Linked DNA regions of Drosophila melanogaster. The protein of the gene in region 2 interacts with the protein of the main gene of each other region in a pairwise test. Each region holds a gene or a part of one and is shown on either strand. Other genes may lie near its edges. The genes, in order: RpS21, HP1e, CG32086 and Cen.

The links.
Region 1: the proteins of HP1e (region 2) and RpS21 interact in a two-hybrid assay, tested with the Drosophila melanogaster proteins (one large-scale study listed by BioGRID).
Region 3: the proteins of HP1e (region 2) and CG32086 interact in a two-hybrid assay, tested with the Drosophila melanogaster proteins (one large-scale study listed by BioGRID).
Region 4: the proteins of HP1e (region 2) and Cen interact in a two-hybrid assay, tested with the Drosophila melanogaster proteins (one large-scale study listed by BioGRID).

The regions. Positions count from the first base shown.
Region 1 is NT_033779.5:2,853,973-2,858,098, forward strand, and holds RpS21 (ribosomal protein S21), read left to right. Parts: upstream 1-2,138; 5' UTR 2,139-2,203; intron 2,204-2,250; exon of another isoform or gene 2,251-2,274; 5' UTR 2,275-2,283; coding exon 2,284-2,333; intron 2,334-2,404; coding exon 2,405-2,596; coding exon of another isoform or gene 2,597-2,600; exon of another isoform or gene 2,601-2,658; coding exon 2,659-2,668; 3' UTR 2,669-2,700; exon of another isoform or gene 2,701-2,796; 3' UTR 2,797-3,057; downstream 3,058-4,126. UniProt on the Drosophila melanogaster protein: May be an associated component of the ribosome rather than a core structural subunit. May act as a translation initiation factor. Has a role in regulation of cell proliferation in the hematopoietic organs and the imaginal disks of larva.
Region 2 is NT_033777.3:9,319,541-9,323,196, reverse strand, and holds HP1e (heterochromatin protein 1e), read right to left. Parts: upstream 1,428-3,656; 5' UTR 1,372-1,427; coding exon 847-1,371; 3' UTR 836-846; downstream 1-835.
Region 3 is NT_037436.4:11,581,601-11,586,012, forward strand, and holds CG32086 (uncharacterized protein), read right to left. Parts: upstream 2,465-4,412; 5' UTR 2,434-2,464; coding exon 1,910-2,433; intron 1,845-1,909; coding exon 1,668-1,844; intron 1,617-1,667; coding exon 842-1,616; 3' UTR 801-841; downstream 1-800. Other genes in the region: CG33269 (uncharacterized protein), read right to left, coding at 250-516; rt (rotated abdomen), read right to left, coding at 2,691-3,412, 3,472-4,251, 4,343-4,412.
Region 4 is NT_033779.5:20,678,421-20,684,143, reverse strand, and holds Cen (centrocortin), read left to right. Parts: upstream 1-2,297; 5' UTR 2,298-2,525; exon of another isoform or gene 2,526-2,610; 5' UTR 2,611-2,651; coding exon 2,652-5,024; 3' UTR 5,025-5,223; downstream 5,224-5,723. Other genes in the region: CG2617 (uncharacterized protein), read right to left, coding at 871-1,695; IKKepsilon (I-kappaB kinase epsilon), read right to left, coding at 5,373-5,723.

The DNA.
Region 1 (4,126 bases), on a different chromosome or scaffold from region 2:
AAAAATCATCAGTGTTTGAAGAGGTTCTCTATATTGCACATGAATGCCATTAATTTGATAAGGTTCACAACTTTGTTGCCCTTCAAATGAATTCCCTTTTCTTGAAAGTAAAGGCTTTGTCTAGATTATTGCAACTCATGCGATTTCCCCTATTGCAAGAGAACAACAATTACTAACTTTTTTGCATGCTGTAATTTCTCCGTTGTTAATAGGAACTCCCCCTGGAAATTGACAGGCGGCATCTCAGATCGCAGCTGACTTGGCTCAATCAACACGCAACAAGCCAGTCACAAAGTGAAGCATTTTCATTTTCTTTTTCATTTTCTGGTCTCTTACTTTGTGGGTACACTGCTTTATTAATTGCATTTTATGCAGCCGCATTTTTTTTTCTGATTTTCATCTACGCTTCTTGCCTTTTTTATGAGCATCATGGTGATGTTTCCCTTGTGCCTTTCAACTTTTGACCTAGAAAGTGTTTTAGTTTTTCGGACTTTCCTCATGCGGCTTTTCATCATCATCGTCTTTCTGGCCAGGCACGCAATGTGTGCTGCTGCTGACAACATGAGTTCAGAGTTTTCTTAGCCTGAGTACGACTCTTAATTGCCCTATTCACATAATTACATTGTGAATGTATCTCAAATATACGGCCGAAACGAAAATTCCGTTAAAGACGGCTTAGCTGAATAAAAGGTATAGTTCCGAAACATTTTAGCACCTTTAGAGCTTATAATATCTGTAGTAATTTTCTTACCAACTTTGTACGCTAAGTTTGTTACAGATAAGCCAGCAAACTGATAAAATATCCGTAATATGCGATACCTCTTATGGTACACGGTTATATCTACTGATTAGATTGTTTTGGCAGCCACTTGTTATTTTGTTTGATTTTAATGATCAATAGCTTTTTTGAAGTCTGGTCACTTTGGGTGGACTTTAACATAATTTATCTAATGTATTTTGTAAGCACCATGATTAGTTTCACTTTCATTTCGTTTCATTTACTATATTGCCACTTTATTACGGGTCTCGGGATCTTTGCTTTCTTGTTTAGGTGCTTATAAATAGCATCTCACGTTATCATGATCTCATTTTATTTCATTTTATCTTTTTGCTCTCGGCTGTACTGGGCTGGTGGCAAACATATTATGCAAAAATATCATAATTTGCACACACAAAAGGTCAACAAGCAGCATAACCACTTGTGAAATCTCACCTCAAGAAGTTTCAGTCGAAAAAACACAACTAACAACAATAAGGCAAAAGTCACGCCGTTTGGGATTTTTGAAATCGAGCGACGCGAAGCGAACCGATTGCTTCCAAAGTTGGCGTCCAACTGAAAAAGCTAAGTCCGAACTCACAATGAAATGCGATCAGAGAGTTCATTGAGTGAGCGACGCCTATAAATAGGCAACGTGGACTGCGAATTCCGCGACATGGCGCGCGATGAAAACAATGCCGCCCACTTGGGGCGCCCCAACAGCCGCACAAACACACGCGAAGTGGCAATAAAAAGTGGGGGTCCGCATCCATTGACGAAAATCGCTGCTGACATCGAGCGAGGTCAAAGGGCAGTCGCGCTGAACGCCCATCCAGCGAAAACAAAATCACAGACTGACTGACTGGCTGTTGCAAAATCAATACTCACATGCTAAATAAGTAAGTCCGTGCAGTTGGGAGCTTGCGAATAATATATATTGAGCCACTCTAATGGGAGCCATTTACTTGATGCGCCCCTAAATATGCAATAGAATTTTCCCGACGCGAAATCTGCAGCCTTCGCTCAGGCCTTCGAAAGTGTGACCAGTCGCTGCTGGAACATGTATCTAATATGTCATTCATTAGATTTTGGTATTTTCCACTAATGCGGGAAAATATATATTTAAATCTATTGATATTTACTTACAAAACCAAGTGAAATTTTTTTTTAATTATCATTTAATTTTAAAATACATTTTGGTGCATAACCAAAATTGAAACATGCCTATTCATTAAAGGGGAATGGAAATATCTTGCAAAAATGTACAATTAAATAAATACCAAAACCTTTGCCAGCTGGTCACCCCAAAACCAGCTGGTACGCAAAACTTCCGACAGGGGGCGCCACGCGCAGCGCAGCCAACTTCACGTCCAGCTGTCATTTCTTTCTCTTTTTCGCCTTCACCGACGAGTTGCGGTCGCTAGATTTGTAAATTTCTACAAAAAAGTGAGTAAACCAGCAGTGGCCGCCACTAAAACTGAATAAAAAGCAAGCTAATTGTGTCCCTTACCTTTCAGCCCAATAAAATGGAGAACGACGCCGGTGAGAATGTTGATCTGTACGTGCCCCGCAAATGGTAAGTGAAACACGTGTTCCCCGCACAATTTGCCGAATGGATTACTGACCAGCCGATACCCTTCCCTGCAGCTCGGCGTCCAACAGGATCATCCACGCCAAGGATCACGCCTCCGTGCAGCTGAGCATCGTGGATGTGGACCCCGAGACCGGTCGCCAGACCGACGGTTCCAAGACCTACGCCATCTGCGGCGAGATCCGTCGCATGGGCGAGTCCGACGACTGCATCGTGCGTCTGGCCAAGAAGGACGGCATCATTACCAAGTGAGTTTGTGCTAGAATCCCCGGGATGGACATCCACTAATCGCGCATTTTTCGCCTTGCAGGAACTTCTAAGCGTGGCGTACCCATAGCTAGATTTTGATTTGGTAATAAAGCGATTTCCCTTTGTAATTTAACGTATAACGTTCGAAATTGTTTTATTTACTTCTGGCATAAACAATGGAATCATTTTTCGGTGGCAGTTAGAACCAGGATTAGCTCAAAGCAAAGCATAACTAAGATGCTTAGTGTGTGGAGTAATTATTCTGACTTCCAATAAGACTTTTCAGCCACTAAGAATTTACGGGTGCTTTCAGGAACCAATTAATTTGATATTTGAATAAGTTCGCCTATGGGAATTCTAGTGTTCTATATCCAAAATAGCATATGCTTTGTATTACGATTATAAACAAACAGCAATCCTTTGTCAAAACAGAATATGAAATATATAACTCTTCGTCCGCAAAAAGTATAAACAAATTTTGAATTTATTGCATAGTATGACCGTTAGTCGAAACAGATAGTTCCTACTTTGTGGATGCGAATTTTTGAGAATGCATAGGTAATCGATAGTGCAATCGATGCTTGGCCATCTCTAGTTCAGCAAACGCGGTCACACTGCAAGTTCAGAGCTCGAGTGATTTTCATCGCGTCGCGAAACGAAAAAAAGTTATATATATATTAAATTTGCGAGGCATAACAACCATTTACCCATTCCTGGGGGCCAAATGTGACGGTGCTGTTGTAGTTGTAGTAGTTTAGGGTACAAGCAGTCGGTTGGTACCACAACAACATAACGAAAACGGAATCCAATTGGAAACGGAAACTGCGCGTCCTTTAAAATATGTGACAAAGAACAACAAAGAGGCAACAAATTGTTAAGCAACTTGCTCAGTTACAAGAATATATAAATGTGATGCAATAGCATAACCATTTCCACACGGACGCCACAGCAACTTGGACAGTATTAGGCAGACTTCGTAACTAGCATATTTTCGCAAACAGTACATGGTGAGTAGTTCCTTACCTTATAGAGCATTACGTACTAATGTACATATGCATGTACGTATGTACATTCATGTGCACCCCAAACAAAAGCATAATAATCCCCTTACTTTTCGCCGTATTTTCCATTCTCGCGTTGTCGCGTGCTGAATTCCTGACTCACTAACGAGCCGTTCCAGGTGCACGGTCCTCAGTGATAATCATAAGTACCATAATGGCGAAAAAACCTATTTCCATTTACATTAGCTGAAGAATCATTAGGTCTTAGAAGTTATTTTCGCATTTGGCATTGATTACTTTTGAATTGTTTTTGCTGTATCCTAAAAATGCCATGCCTCATAATAAATATTCAATAATATATTACAATATATATCGTTGCCAAAAACCAAACCTATAACAGCCAATAACAATATAAATAAAACTAAATAGGGGCGGGCAATTGCTTACATAAAACCTTGACATTTAAGGTGTGCTGCTTTTGCCCCACTGTGCGCCGCCCACTTTCCGCCCGGTGCACTTGCACCCAAA
Region 2 (3,656 bases):
TTTTTTCAATTATTTCTGTGAAAATCGAAAAAAAACATTATTCTTTTTTAACTCACAAAATCTAAAAAAGCACAGCGTGAATAAATGCTTCACTAGTTTCATGGATCAGTTATCTAGCTTAATCTAAGAATATTTTGAATAGAAATAGTATTGAACACCAGTGCAAGCATAACGTCAAAACAAAAGTTGAATCAAGCGTGTGCCTATAAATTCAAATAGGTCTTAGTTTCTTTTACCGCCGACAAAAACTTACCAATATCGAAGAGCAATTGATTGGAGTTGAACTTGCTCGACCGGATATTGCAGTATCAATTCTCGGCAAAAGTGCAGAAGGCTTAAACGAAACCTTTTTGCTGCTATTGTGGCTACGTGCCCACTGGACGCAACTGGGTAGCACCAGAGCCCCCCCCCCCCCCCTCCAAAAAAAAGGACCCAAGTGACGAAAAACAAACACGAATATATAGGGCAAAAGTACGTCCGGCCACCACGCCCCATCAGCCAAAAACAGAGAATAGGTCTTACGACTTTTGGTACTTGCGATGAGACAAGGGAATGGCCACAAAAACGGAATGCAAATATTTTCGCTTCATTTTGGCCGTCGTACATTCCTGGCCCTTGTTTGCCGGCACTGTTGTTGCAATTAAGAGTGTTTACGCTGCCTGTCGGGCAAACACGCCCCAAAAATCACTTAAAACTTGGCATTTTGCCTTCATTATTGTTTGTAATGCTGTGCAAAGGGACACCTTTTATTATAAAAAGTAAAGCAATTTAACCTAACATATAAAATATAAGAAGCTCACACACATATTCATAAGTTTTTTTTTTTTGAAGATCCAGAATTGCAAGTCATGATATATAATTATTTAAATAATCGTGAAAATTGCAATGATTTTCATAGAATTTCAGAACCATCTGCGGTATTTCCACATATGCAATTCCACTTGGCACCACTTGTGGTTGATCGAGATGCCAAAACCTAATTAAAAACGATATTTCACCATTGTTTTTAGCGCCTTTTAGAATCTCTTGTGCAGTGAAACCATGATTAAAAGGACTATCTACTACTAGACATGGATCGATTTTCAGTCGTTTAGCTTTAGTTTCATATTGATTATTCAGCTCTTGACCCCTCTTCAGACTTTTTTGTGATTCAATCGAATCAATAAGTGAATGGCAATCGAGATCTGCTGCCGATTCCCAGGTATTATCTTCATCGCTATAATCCAGCCATTTGACCAAGTATTGTAATTGGCCCATATAATGCCTTCGATCCAAAATCCTCTCTACAATATACTCCTCAGTTTCTTCAAAATCCGTCGAATTTTCAGAGAAATTCGAAACGGTCTCGCCACCATCGGCATCTGAATCCATTTTATATTTTTAAATGTTCAAATAGTATTTTTTTGATGAGTTTTGACAGCAATGTCAGAGCGAAAAACATTTTCGTAACTTTTTATCTACAGTTGCTACTCAACAAAACGTAGTTTTCTGTGCAGACAAGTTTTCTTTTAAATGCTGGTCTACTTTAATATCTTCTTGCCAAAAGAAATAAAATTATGAAAAATATTGTAATGAATTCGTTTAATATCCTGAAGTAGAAAAGTTAGCCATATACTTAATGCCCACAGCTTAGGAAATGCGGCATTAATAATACCAAATTCAATAGCAGAAAGTGAATAAAATTGTTTGCCGGAAATCTATTAGAGATCCCTGGATGCTGGGTAAGTCCTTTCGAACAACAATAAGAATAAGATGAGCCGTCAAAAGGAAAAACTGCGGAAAATATCGTAAAAAATTATGCGTAAACTTGGCGAAAAGTTTGAAATACTCGTAGAACAAAGTTTTTTTCAGTTTGGTTTCGTGTATCACGTTGTTTAATGAACAAAATCTTTTGCCTTTCAAGGCAAACTTTGCAGGCCACAGAAATCGTTGATGAATCACTTGACAATAAATTGGGGAATATGCTTTAAAAATTTGAAAGGTGTAACAACTAGTTATTTTTCTTATTTATCCTTCATTGAAAAACATAAGTTTATGGCTTCCCTCGAAGTCAGTTCCACATTTTATGGCTTTCTTTTGTAGAATGAAGGCGCCACGTACCTGATATTAAATCGGCAAAGTTTTATTACCCGAAATTAAAAGCTCGATTATGCGCGATGACGTGGGACAGATTTGTGGGATTGGGTCGCTTGGTTTGAATACTTTTTAGAGGCCAGCATTTACATGCGAATGTGGCAATCAAACTGTGCAGTGAGTGCTACGTGGCCGGAATAAATCAGGCGACTTATGAAGTAGGATGGAGTTGGAGATTCACGGCAAATACATACATAAAATGTGCGCCTTCGTCAACTGCAGTACAGTGAAGATTCGAAAATCGAAATGGAGTGGAGGGGTGGTCAAGAAACGTGAGGTGCGGTTGTTTACTGAAGCCGTAAATGGGGGGCCGGGCAATTTCCGTGCGGCGAGTTGTGAAATCAGCGTCAAATCGGAAGCACAGGAAGTGGAGAGGTGAGCAGTCGGCGCAAAAGTCAATGTGACTGCCTATGCCATCACTTCCGGCAAATATTGATTGCAGGGGGTGGTGCCTAGAATGGCTAAAAGCCATTTCTGCCTGGGTAAATTCAATGTAATTGATAAGCGAACTCTGCCGGCAGATAGGCGGCAATGAGCATAGTGTCCTGGCACACAGATACCCCATATATGTATGAGCAAACATACTGGCACACAGACACACTAGCAAAAGACACTCAATTAAGAAAACAATGGCGGCTCGGTTTGTGCGGCAATTGAGTTTTTCCTTTTTGCCATCTGCGTTGGCCGTCTTTGTTTAGCTTTCGGCTTTTCCTCTTACCCCGTTCCCAATTTGCCAGTAAGACGCTTAGTCTTGCCACAAGCCCATCGCAAAATGCTCTCTCAGTATTCTCGTATTTGACTAGTACTGCGATATCTTTGCCTTTTAGCCAACTTGAGTTTCTTGGGTTTTTGGCCCCATTCTACTCCTTTATTCCTATCGCACGCTCATTAGCCGCTGTCTTCGAGCCAATTTTACTGTCACTTTTTGCCTCCAGTGCTGGCTGTAGTTCCTTTGTTCGGATTCCTCGCTTGACTTAACACACTTTGGGCTAATTTCCAGTTTTATTTGATCATCATTATAATTATTGTGTGCTTGTTTTTGACAGTATTACGGTCATAATTTTTTTTTTTTTTTTTTTTTTGAGACCAATATTTGATGTTTTTATTATTTGATCAACGCACTGTTACCCATGCGGCAACTTAATTTGATCTGCTTAAATTATTTTATTTTACAATGTGTCTTGGTTACTTAAGACTAACAGATTTTTAATCCTAAAAATGTTAGGGAGAATTATAATAGTTGATATAACATAGTAATTATTATTTATTTGATTATTCTAATGAATTTTAAAACTAAGACTTTCTAGGTCAAAACCAGGTTAGGGAGGTCATGAGGGTGGTGTCGCTTGAGTCTTCTTTTGACTCTAGTCCGAGGGTCAGCATTGACCACAGCTGCAGTTCCTAGCTTCCTTGCTAGGCTGTTGGGGTGTACACGGTCATAATGGAAAGCCAGATTCGTTCGTGCGCTCATAAGTAGGCAATGAATTTTGATTGTAACTTTTATCTCGTGCTGAATATGTTCA
Region 3 (4,412 bases), on a different chromosome or scaffold from region 2:
TCTTTAGAAAATTGGCGACCGATAGACTAAATCGGCTATATATTCTGATAAGGCATATGTGTACAATACAATAGGATCGAAAACTTTTTAAGTGTTACCTACTTTTAAACACACATTGCATACCCATTTACTATGCGTTATGAGTTAAGGGTACAAATACTACTTAAAATAATTTTATAGATAAAATGAAAATATTAGGCAAAATTCTTTTAAAAAGAATTTCTTTATTTCAAAAACTACTAGTGCAGCTTAATTTTTCCTGTGGGTCACAATCACGATGGTCTTGTGGCACCTCTTTGGGTTCTTGCACTTCCGCTTGGGAATGCGGGTGTGGCACCAGTTGTTGCCCCTCCAACAAAGCTTTTTGTGAGTGGAAGCGGCCGTTGTTGTTGTTGTGGTCGATGCTGCAGTGGTGGTTGTTGTTGTGGTGGTGGCATCAGTTGTTGTTGTATTACTAGAAGATGAAGCCACCTGGATGGCCAGGGCAATAAGGGCAACCACGAACAGGTATTTCATCTTTGATGTTATTGTTGGTTATGTTGGTTAGCTGGCAAAGCAATTGATATTAGACTTGGCTTAAAAGCGGCGAAGGGCTGTTGTGATCAACTGATGTTGAAGTCACCCCATTTATAGTTCTCCAGTAATTTCCGGATTTAGAAAACTAGTATTAATTTGATTTCCTAACTGATCACAGAAATTTAAATATTTGGTCGTAAGACACCAGCTTTGAAAGTTTAATGCTGTAGCAAATATTTGCTTCACACAAATGACAGCCCAAACTTATGCTATAGTTTATTTTTGTTTATTATATATTTGTTTGTCATGGTAAATTGTCTAAGTATTATGTAGATATGGCCTCTATTTTGTTGTGCATTTCAGTACGAAACTGCGTGACGGATGCCATTTCATTTTGGTCCTTGAACTTAGTCATTAGACTCTGCCAAATAGCTTCGAATTTATCAGTTGTTACGAGACTTCTAAAGATACGTTCGATTTCCGCTTTGGGCCGCAAACAGGTGAAATCACTGTGAGTAAGGCCACGTAAAATGGCCAAATCCGGTGTTATAAGATCCTTGGCAGTTGTTTTATTCCCTTCGAGATTCTGGCTAATTGCTCCCGTATTATCCTTTGACTTGTTTTGAAGATCGGCGCAGAGCAAACGATATGTGGTGTCCAGACAACTAACATCGGATACATTGGTCAAGTTTCCCGTTTTCGGCAGAGAATTCTGAATCGAGAGAAGTCGAAAGAAATCTACATAATTCACCCGCTCCGTGGCACAGCCCTCGTCCACAATCAGCCGAAAATTGGACAAGGCCAGACGGATTTTTTGCGCATCCAGACGGATGTGAAAACTTCTGAAAATTTCCAAGATGCGTGCCAGTGGCAAGTGACCCGTTCCATCCGTGTCACTCCTCTCCAGCACTGAATTTAGTGCGTACTTGTGAAATTCCAGCTGGTTCCTCAAACTATGACGTTTTTTGTTCAAATAGCGTATGGCATCTAGTAGCCGGTTGGTTTTGTAGCAGGGTTCAATATTATTTAGCAGCATCTTCACATCGCCATTGCTGCGCAGAGGAACACCGAAAGTTATGTCGGGCACCGCAAAAGTGTACCTACAGACAGTCTAAAACTATTAATCAAAATCTATATCTATCTATACTTACTTTTTGTTTCGCATTCCGAGGGGTGCCTCGTTTCGATCCATAAAGTCCACTTGCGCCTTGCCAATAACCTTCAGGTGGTTCTCACCTTCCTCCAGACATCGCTTCACTTTCAGTCCAAAATCGCCGTGAGTATGTATATCTCCACAAGGTGATTTTCGATCAAATGGTTGGGCATATCTAAAAAATATTTAAGACGTTCATTAAATATGCACCATTGCATTTGTAGTGACCAATAGCTTGACCTGCGGTTAACCTGCTCCGAAGGAAAGTAGTGATTGTGGCTGATGATGTACTTGTCGTGGAAAGCCTCGTACTCCTTATTAACTTGCTCCGCCGACTTGGCCGGCAATATGACGTCGTAGAGACATTCATTTTGTGATTGACTCGATGGACTTCCGAAGGTTTGGCTTATATTGGTCACGTCTTCCGGTTTGGAGTACGTTTTCTTGACCCCACCCAAAGTGGCCTTTTTGAAGTACATTTCCTCGTAGAACTTCTCCTTGAAGGACATAAAGCGCGACTTTTGCAACTCGCTGGTGAGCAAATCCCGGATGCTGCTGCTGGGTTGAACGGAACCGGCTGGGAACTTCTGGGATTTTTTATTGATCTGCCCGTAATTGCGCCTAACTAGACTCTCAGCCAATTCTTCTGGATTGCTAATACTAAGACAAACTTTTACACCTTCCGCTCCATCTAATCCACTGGTGGACAATCCTGCAGTCGGTATATTTGCATTTCTGTCTATAAAGTGTCCCTTATTGGCCATGTTTATGAGTGTATTTATGTATATAGTGTGGGTTCAAGTGTTTTCAGAGTGCTTATACATATTACTGAGTGATAAAGCAGAACATCTTAAATAAATAAATAATTGTATTTATTGGTCTTGTAAATGAGTATGTTTACATGTCAAATAATTTATGGCTTAGTATTAGTTCAACTTTAGCTAGTCGTCTAGTCTATTGTACATGGTACTAGTACATCATTGCACGTCTCTCTCTGGCCGCGGAGATGGCATCTGTTTTTTCAGTACAGGTGGTGGTTCTTGTGCAGGACAAAGTCCCAGGTATCCTTCCATCGAAGACTGCGAACCTCATTTAAAGTCATTTTTCTCGCACCATAACTGAATGGTATAAACTTTGAGAAAATGCTAAGCACGCCCACCAGCCACAGGATTAGCATGAGGCGATAAAGGCGCACCAGATGGACACCACGTCCGGTGCAGAAGCGCCTGAGCAGATAGTCCAAATGCTCCACGACAAAGCACAATAAAAGTAACTTAAACACAAAGGCTGGCAAGTAATTGTGCAGGAAGAGTGTACGATCCACACAAAAATACGGAATATAGTGCATCACGTAGCCCATAAAAAAGGTGTCACCAGCTAATACGAATCGCTGCCACTCTTGCTCCGAAATATCAAAGCAAAGACGTTGCCGCCGCATCGCGTAGAAGGCGAGTAATCCGGCATAGACAAGTATTCCCATGGTGGCTGTGTACCAGAGTAGTATGTTTCCCAGCAAATAGATCTGCGCACTCGACTGTGAGTCCAACCAATAAGCGATGCCCTTGTCCATTAGCGGCCACTCGTGCGGCATCGAGCTGTACATGTGATTTGGCACTGACTTCGTTTGGAACAGCATCTTGGATTGTAGCTCCAGTAGCTTGGCCCAGAACGAGATGCGCGTCCGCTTTGTGGGTATCATCTCGGCAGTTAGCATCTGGCGCTCTCGCTCCCGATGATCCTCAGCTATAAAGGGTTGTAAATGAGGATAACGTATTTCTTCAAGTATCTCGAAGAGGACTTACTCTGTGTATAGCGGTGCTCCTCAACATTCCAAATGGCATCCTCATGTATTGCCTTTTCACGATCCGCCACCACCTCGTGCTGATTGAAACCCCATTCGGGAAGTTGGCGCCCACTGAACTTCAAGGAGGCTTCTGTGGACACGTGAACGAGGCGGACCTCCGACTTGATGGCATGCCAAATGTCACCTTCGGAATCGCGATTCAGAATCTCCACGCGCCACAACAGTTCACCGGCCATTTTGATCTCGTAATCTATGTAGCAGCTGACTTCTTGGCACTGCGGCGTCATTGCCGCAGCCACATCGTGTGAGTTCAGAGCTCGGCTCGTAATTCCATGGACCAACTGAATAATTTCACCGTGCCGAATGATATCCGGCTCATCACCCACCACCAGGTTCTCCTTTGTTGGTCGCTTAACCAGCCACCAGTTGTTCACATCCTTGAAGGAGTAGCAGGTGACCTGCTGCTGGTGGGAGGAGCCTCTCTTGTCCGGATACCGCACCGGATAGACAGCTGCATGCGAGTGCAGCCAACAGGTGCGTCCGTGGGTGTGTCGTAGTGTGATTTGGGATCCATGAACCACTGCCAATGGCTGTCCTTTTGTGATCGATGCCAATCCTCCATCTAACGAGGCCTGAAACGCGCTAGTCATGATGCTATCATGCGGTCCAGCCCGGTGCAGCGTCTTGAAGTGGATATAGAAGACTCCCAAGTAGACCGCCAATGGAATTCCAACAAAGATTAACAGGCGACTTATGGCATGCATCCATAGCTGGCGATCTTGAAAAAAATGGTTTTATTTTGATTTATTCAATCTCTATTATTATATCGTAAATCGTATTTGTAAATCTCAGAAAAAAAGGTATCTTACCGGTGAGACCGGCGTCGTAGAGCAGTTGCCACAGGTGTCGACACAGCAAATAAAAGGCTAGCCCCAGTGC
Region 4 (5,723 bases), on a different chromosome or scaffold from region 2:
AACATACATATATATTTTACTATGTAACGGATAGAATTAAGCTAGATGCAGCGCATAAAGCTTTATACAACAAATTGAAAAGCAACAGAAGAAATTGGCACAAATTAAATTTATATAGCATAATTAGACGTCCTTCGCAAGATAATGTTATTCGTAATAAGAGCGTCAATCGGTACATCGGGCGCTATTTCCCACTACACCCCCAACCACACAATAGATAACCTAAGCTATGTATGTACATTAGCTATGTATATCCAGCCCACTTATGCGCCTACTACTAGAAATGCAGAAAGCAGAAAGAGAGGTGAAACCTATAGACGCTATCACAAATGTCTATCTGATAGACATCGGTACTACCAATGCTATATTGCCAGTTGTGTAATTTACTCTTATTTGATCGTTTCATTTACCAGTTAAGAACCCAAATCATATAAGTGTTATGATGGAAGAACTATAACTTGCAATTCAATTAACTCTGCAATACGATAACAAGCAAAGCGAATCATTTCATTTCGATTTAATCTTTAATTATATATACTTAAACGATGTAAGCCCAAAACAAACGTTTTTTCTATATCTGTCTTTTGAGCAAATTAGTTATACGCAAAACCAAACCGTATTTACATAAATGTATACAAAACAAATCGTATATTTTCATTGGTTTGAAATAAATACATAAAACAATTTAACTTGTTTTACTTGATATTTTAGGTGTCTGGGAATTGAAAGCTGCATTAAAATGTTTTGTCTGTTCTGCTTTGTAAAGATTATTTGTTTTTTCTATTACAAGTGTCTTAACCAAAGACATTTGGTTAACTTCTGAGAATCATAATTACTTATAAGTTAAATTCCAATTGGCAGTCTTATATATCAAACGTAAACTGACAGGAACGACGTAATGTTGTGCCTGCAGACAGGACAGCGGTCTTCTAAAAGGAGCACGAGCTGCAGGGAGCACTCTTTGCAGAGGCAGAGGTGCCGGCATGGCATGACTACTACGTTCCTGCTTTGAGCCATGCACACGACACAGCGTTCTGGACTCGCGGATCCTGCGTTCTCTGACACATACCAAACATTGTGTATGAAGTGTTGCAATTTATGATGGGTCCATAGGTAAACGCTTTGCGTCTTCGTCGAGATTTCAATGCGTCCACGTTGCAGCAGGTAGATGAGCATCAGGTACACATAGCGGCGGAACATATAGAGAACGAGGAGCAGGGCCAATCCTATCGAGGCCCGGAACGCACTGTTCAGCAAGCTCAAGCCATGGGCCACGATTGAGTGCACCACAAAGTCTAGGAGGCAGTCCCAGAGGAATAGTATGGCCCTCGGCAGCAGCATCAGCAGCCACAAGATGCCATCACCCAGATCGATGAGTAAGTTGCAGATGAATCGGGATATGCAGTGACCAAAATCGAGTACATTCTTGAGCCCGCCTTTGGTGCCGCCGTAGAAGTAGTCCGCCACATCTAGCGTGATGAGGCCCAAGTCGCGGATGCCCTCGTTGATATTCCTGACCGCGCATCTCAACAGATTCCATCCTTTCCTGCTGCCCTCCACCAAACAGAAGCCGACGAGGTAGCTGCCCCACAGGAAGTAGTACACGCCAGTAATCACTGCATCAATCACGCTGGCCAGCGGACGCAGCAGGACCAGATCCACAAGCTCCGCTGCCCGAATTAGAGCGTCCAGCATGGCGGGGGGCTCATACTGTCCTCGAATTAAGAAAAGGAAGAAACACAAAATCAAAACAAGAACGCCGGCCGCTTAGTGTGACCAGGCGGTGGTTGGTAATTAAAGCCAAGCTATCGTTGCGATAAGGTAGCGTCAAATAATTACTTATCTTAAATATTTGTATAATTAATATATATATTTATTTTTAACACCCCACACATTATCGGTTGCACTTCCTAGATATATTTAAACTTAGATGGTATCTGAACTTTAAATACGCCAAATTCTAGGGTAACTTAAATTAATAATGTTCAAACAAATATTTTGCTTCTGTGAGCAAAGGAATTACTAAGGAGACATAACAATTTGGATTTATTAATTTTGACAACTATAAATATGCGTAATAATTAATATGGGTATTCATGTACTGATCTATTATGATATTGCATGCTTCTTTCAAAGACAATGAAAGCTCAAAAATATAATTATACATCCGTGCATTTTGCTGGTATTTCAGAATCCAACAAGGTTTCCCCAAACAACTCGCGAGGGGTTATATAAGAAAGGCGAGCTTAAATCATAGCCCTATCTGAGCAGGAATCCCCCTAATGCGAATAATCCTATTATAAATTTATTTCCGGTTCTGCTAGGAAGTTCATTTCGGTTCTTTGTCTGCAGGTCGATTGTGTATAATAAAAAGCATTAATTAACTATTCGTACATGCAGTTGCGCCCTAGTACGTAGGGCTTTTTCTGCACTCGCTGCAATACCATACTTTTTGTTTTTGGGGATGAAACAGTAAAAAAGTTACTGTTGTAGCAGTTTTCCACCATTGAGAGGACATTTGCCAAGTAATTACTGTTTGAGTTTTGCTTTGCTCACAAAGCTCTGCTGCTAAATGAACTAAAATCGATTAAATCTTTAAATTTTCGCCAGAGTTCGCATCAAGCCCAAGCTTAGAAAGGTCCAAGTCCAAGATGGAGGAATCCAATCACGGTTCGGCTGGCTGTGAAAACGTATCGCAGTTCATGCTCGATGACCTACAATTGGCAGCAGAGCTGGGAAAAACGCTCCTGGAACGCAATAAGGAGCTGGAAACCTTCATCAAGGAGTACAAGATTAAGGGGGATGAGCAGGAACTGGAGATCTTGCATCTGCGCAAGCACATTAATGCGATGACCGAGGTGAATGATTCACGGCTTAAGGTCTACGAGCAGCTGGAAGTGGGCATTCAGGATCTGGAGCGTGCCAATCAGCGGCTAAATCTGGAGAAGAATCGGGACAAGAAGCAGATTAAGACGCTGACCACCAACACGGAAGTCCTGGAAGCCCGCTGCGAGGAACTGAGTCAACTTCTGAGCGATGCTCGGCAATCCCTGAGCACCGAGCGGCGGAAGGTGGATCAGTACCAGCAGGAACGCTATAGGATGCAGCATTCGACCGAGGGTTCTGTGTCCAGTCACAGCATTCAATCGCTGTGCAAGGAGCAGAGTGTTGAGTTCTCCAAACTAGATGTTATGGCCATAGCGAACTCGACAGGATTGGAGGATATCTCCTTCAGTAATGCCACCATGTGCGAGAGGACCGCCGTTAAGGGTGAAGACAACGAGGAATTGGTAAAGCTGCTCAGCGAAATGGAGGTGTTAAAACGTGACTTCTTGGCCGAACAGCAGCGGTGCACCGAGCTGGAGGAGCAGTTGGTGACCATAATCCAAGACAACCAAGGTCTGCAGACACGTCTGCTGGAGAACAGTGCCAATGAGGGAACAATGTCGATGCACGAGGAGTTCAGCCTCCTGGACGACGTGAGACAAGGCCAAATGTGTAGTCGCTGCCTGAGGGATATTAACGAAAGCAACACCAATATGGATGATCAATCCTCCATTGCCCCAACCGAAGAAATCTACGAAGATGACGATCGCAGCATACTAAGCGAAAGCACCTCGAAATGCGATAATAGTGGTGCGGATTATAAGGAACGCTTCCGGATTCCCGAGGACCTCAATCCCAACTCTAGCGACAAACCAAATCCTTATCGGGACCTAGTCGAGAAATATGAAGCTCTGGTGGAGGTGAAGAGAACCTCGAATGCGGTCAAGAGCAACTTCACCAGCAATCCAGATGGGAAGACCATGACCGAGTCCAGTCAAGGCAAAAAATCAGAAACAATTGTTAACAGCTCAAAGGAATCTGACCTTATGTTGGATTCAACACGTAAGCGCACTCCAACCGAGTTTTCGGAATCAGAAACTACATCGTCGGGATTCTCGGATGAAACTAGCAACAAGTCTACGCAAACTGACGAGCGACCGAGTTACTTCCTTTGCTCAATAAGTAATGGAAACGATTGTAAATTCAGTATTTATGACGACGTCAGCCCCATTGAATCTCATTTCCGTAATCGCCCGGAGTACAGGGAACTCTTCAAGGAGATATTTGGAGTGCTCAAGAAGGCAGCTGATAATAACGAAGAAGACAAGCTTCCGTCCCTGCATGACGACGCACAGATTACAGAAAAATTACCCTTGGTGGCGGCCAAAGTACCCCCGGTAACACCCGAGAGGGAGGAATCTCCAGATGACTTCATTGACGACACACAGAGCGTCGTATCCTCAGTTATATCCAACCAGTCCATTGCAATGTCCGAGTGCGTTACCAAACTGGAGCGGAAGACAGCCAAAAAACACATCTTTGATGTCCGAAACCAACAAAACCAATCGTCCCTAACGCAATCCACTTTGTTAAACAGCTCCTCGAAGGAAACAACTGTCGGCGAACCGAATTATAAACCCATAAGGGAGAATGGCCAGATACTTACTCCACTCAAGCGCGAACCACTCGAATATCTAACCGTAGGTGTCGGAATCAAGAAGAAGAACCGACGAAAGCACCGAAACCAAAGCTCATCTGGAGATCGCATCGAATTGTTTAACTCCCGGGAATTTACTCCCAGGAACAGTCCTCTGGCCATGAACAACCGTGGTGGTGGACAAGGGAGCTCAAAGATGTGTACGGATACATTGAATGCTGAATTCGGACGCAGTAACCGCAGACGGACAACTCCATCCTCAAGCAACTGGAATGGCTCTCCCATGGTGATCTATAACAAGAATATGAATACTCCCCAAACTTCTCGGGGCCGAGTAATAGAGCTCAATGGCGTCGAGTTTTATCATAACACGGTATCGCAAGACTTACATAAACTTAAAAAGTTAGACTTATCCTACGCCGAAGTTTTGCGCCGGGCCGATGCCGGCGAACATGGACCCACAAGATCACATTCCCAGCGACAGCAACACAACGGAGCCAACATTCGCAAGAGTCATCATCATCAGTTTCGTCAAAAGTAAACTTGTTTAGAGAATGTAAATAAGCAATTAAACAGTGCATTCTAGCCATAGGGCATTCTACCATTTTTAAATTGTGTGTGCCATGCAGTCTAGTCCGCTTTTTCATGTATAGACAGTTAAATAACAATAACTAAATAACTATAATCGGAAATTTAATTTTATTTCAGCATGATAAAATAAATAATTTAATGACCTACAGAAATCTTACTCTTTCACGATATTCAGCCAAGTTTCAATAGGAATATATGTAGTTGCTTTACAAATTCAGATATAAAAAAGTAAACATTTATTGTTAACTTACAAAGTAAAGGCAAATAAAATATTCTTGCACTTTCATGATATGCCCGTCTAACTACTTTCCAGACTTCCGTTGGTAATGCCCAGTTTGCTAAGCAAACTTATTATATCGCTGTTCGTTCTCATGACAGCCATAACTTCCTGTTGCTGCTGCTGCATGACCCTTAGCCGATTCCGCTCCTCTATCTTGGCCAGCTGATTATTGTTGTTTATGGTCTTTGTGTCCACATCCAGCTTCAGCTCCGACTTAACGTGATACAACTCATCGCGTATTCCGTTCAACTTTCTTTCGCAATCGCGCACGTCCTTCTCCAAAATTTGAGTTTTAAGGTAGACGGTCTGAGCCAACTTATACCAGTCCGCCAGGCACTCTGCGATTTGTGCCACTGTCGGATTTACGTT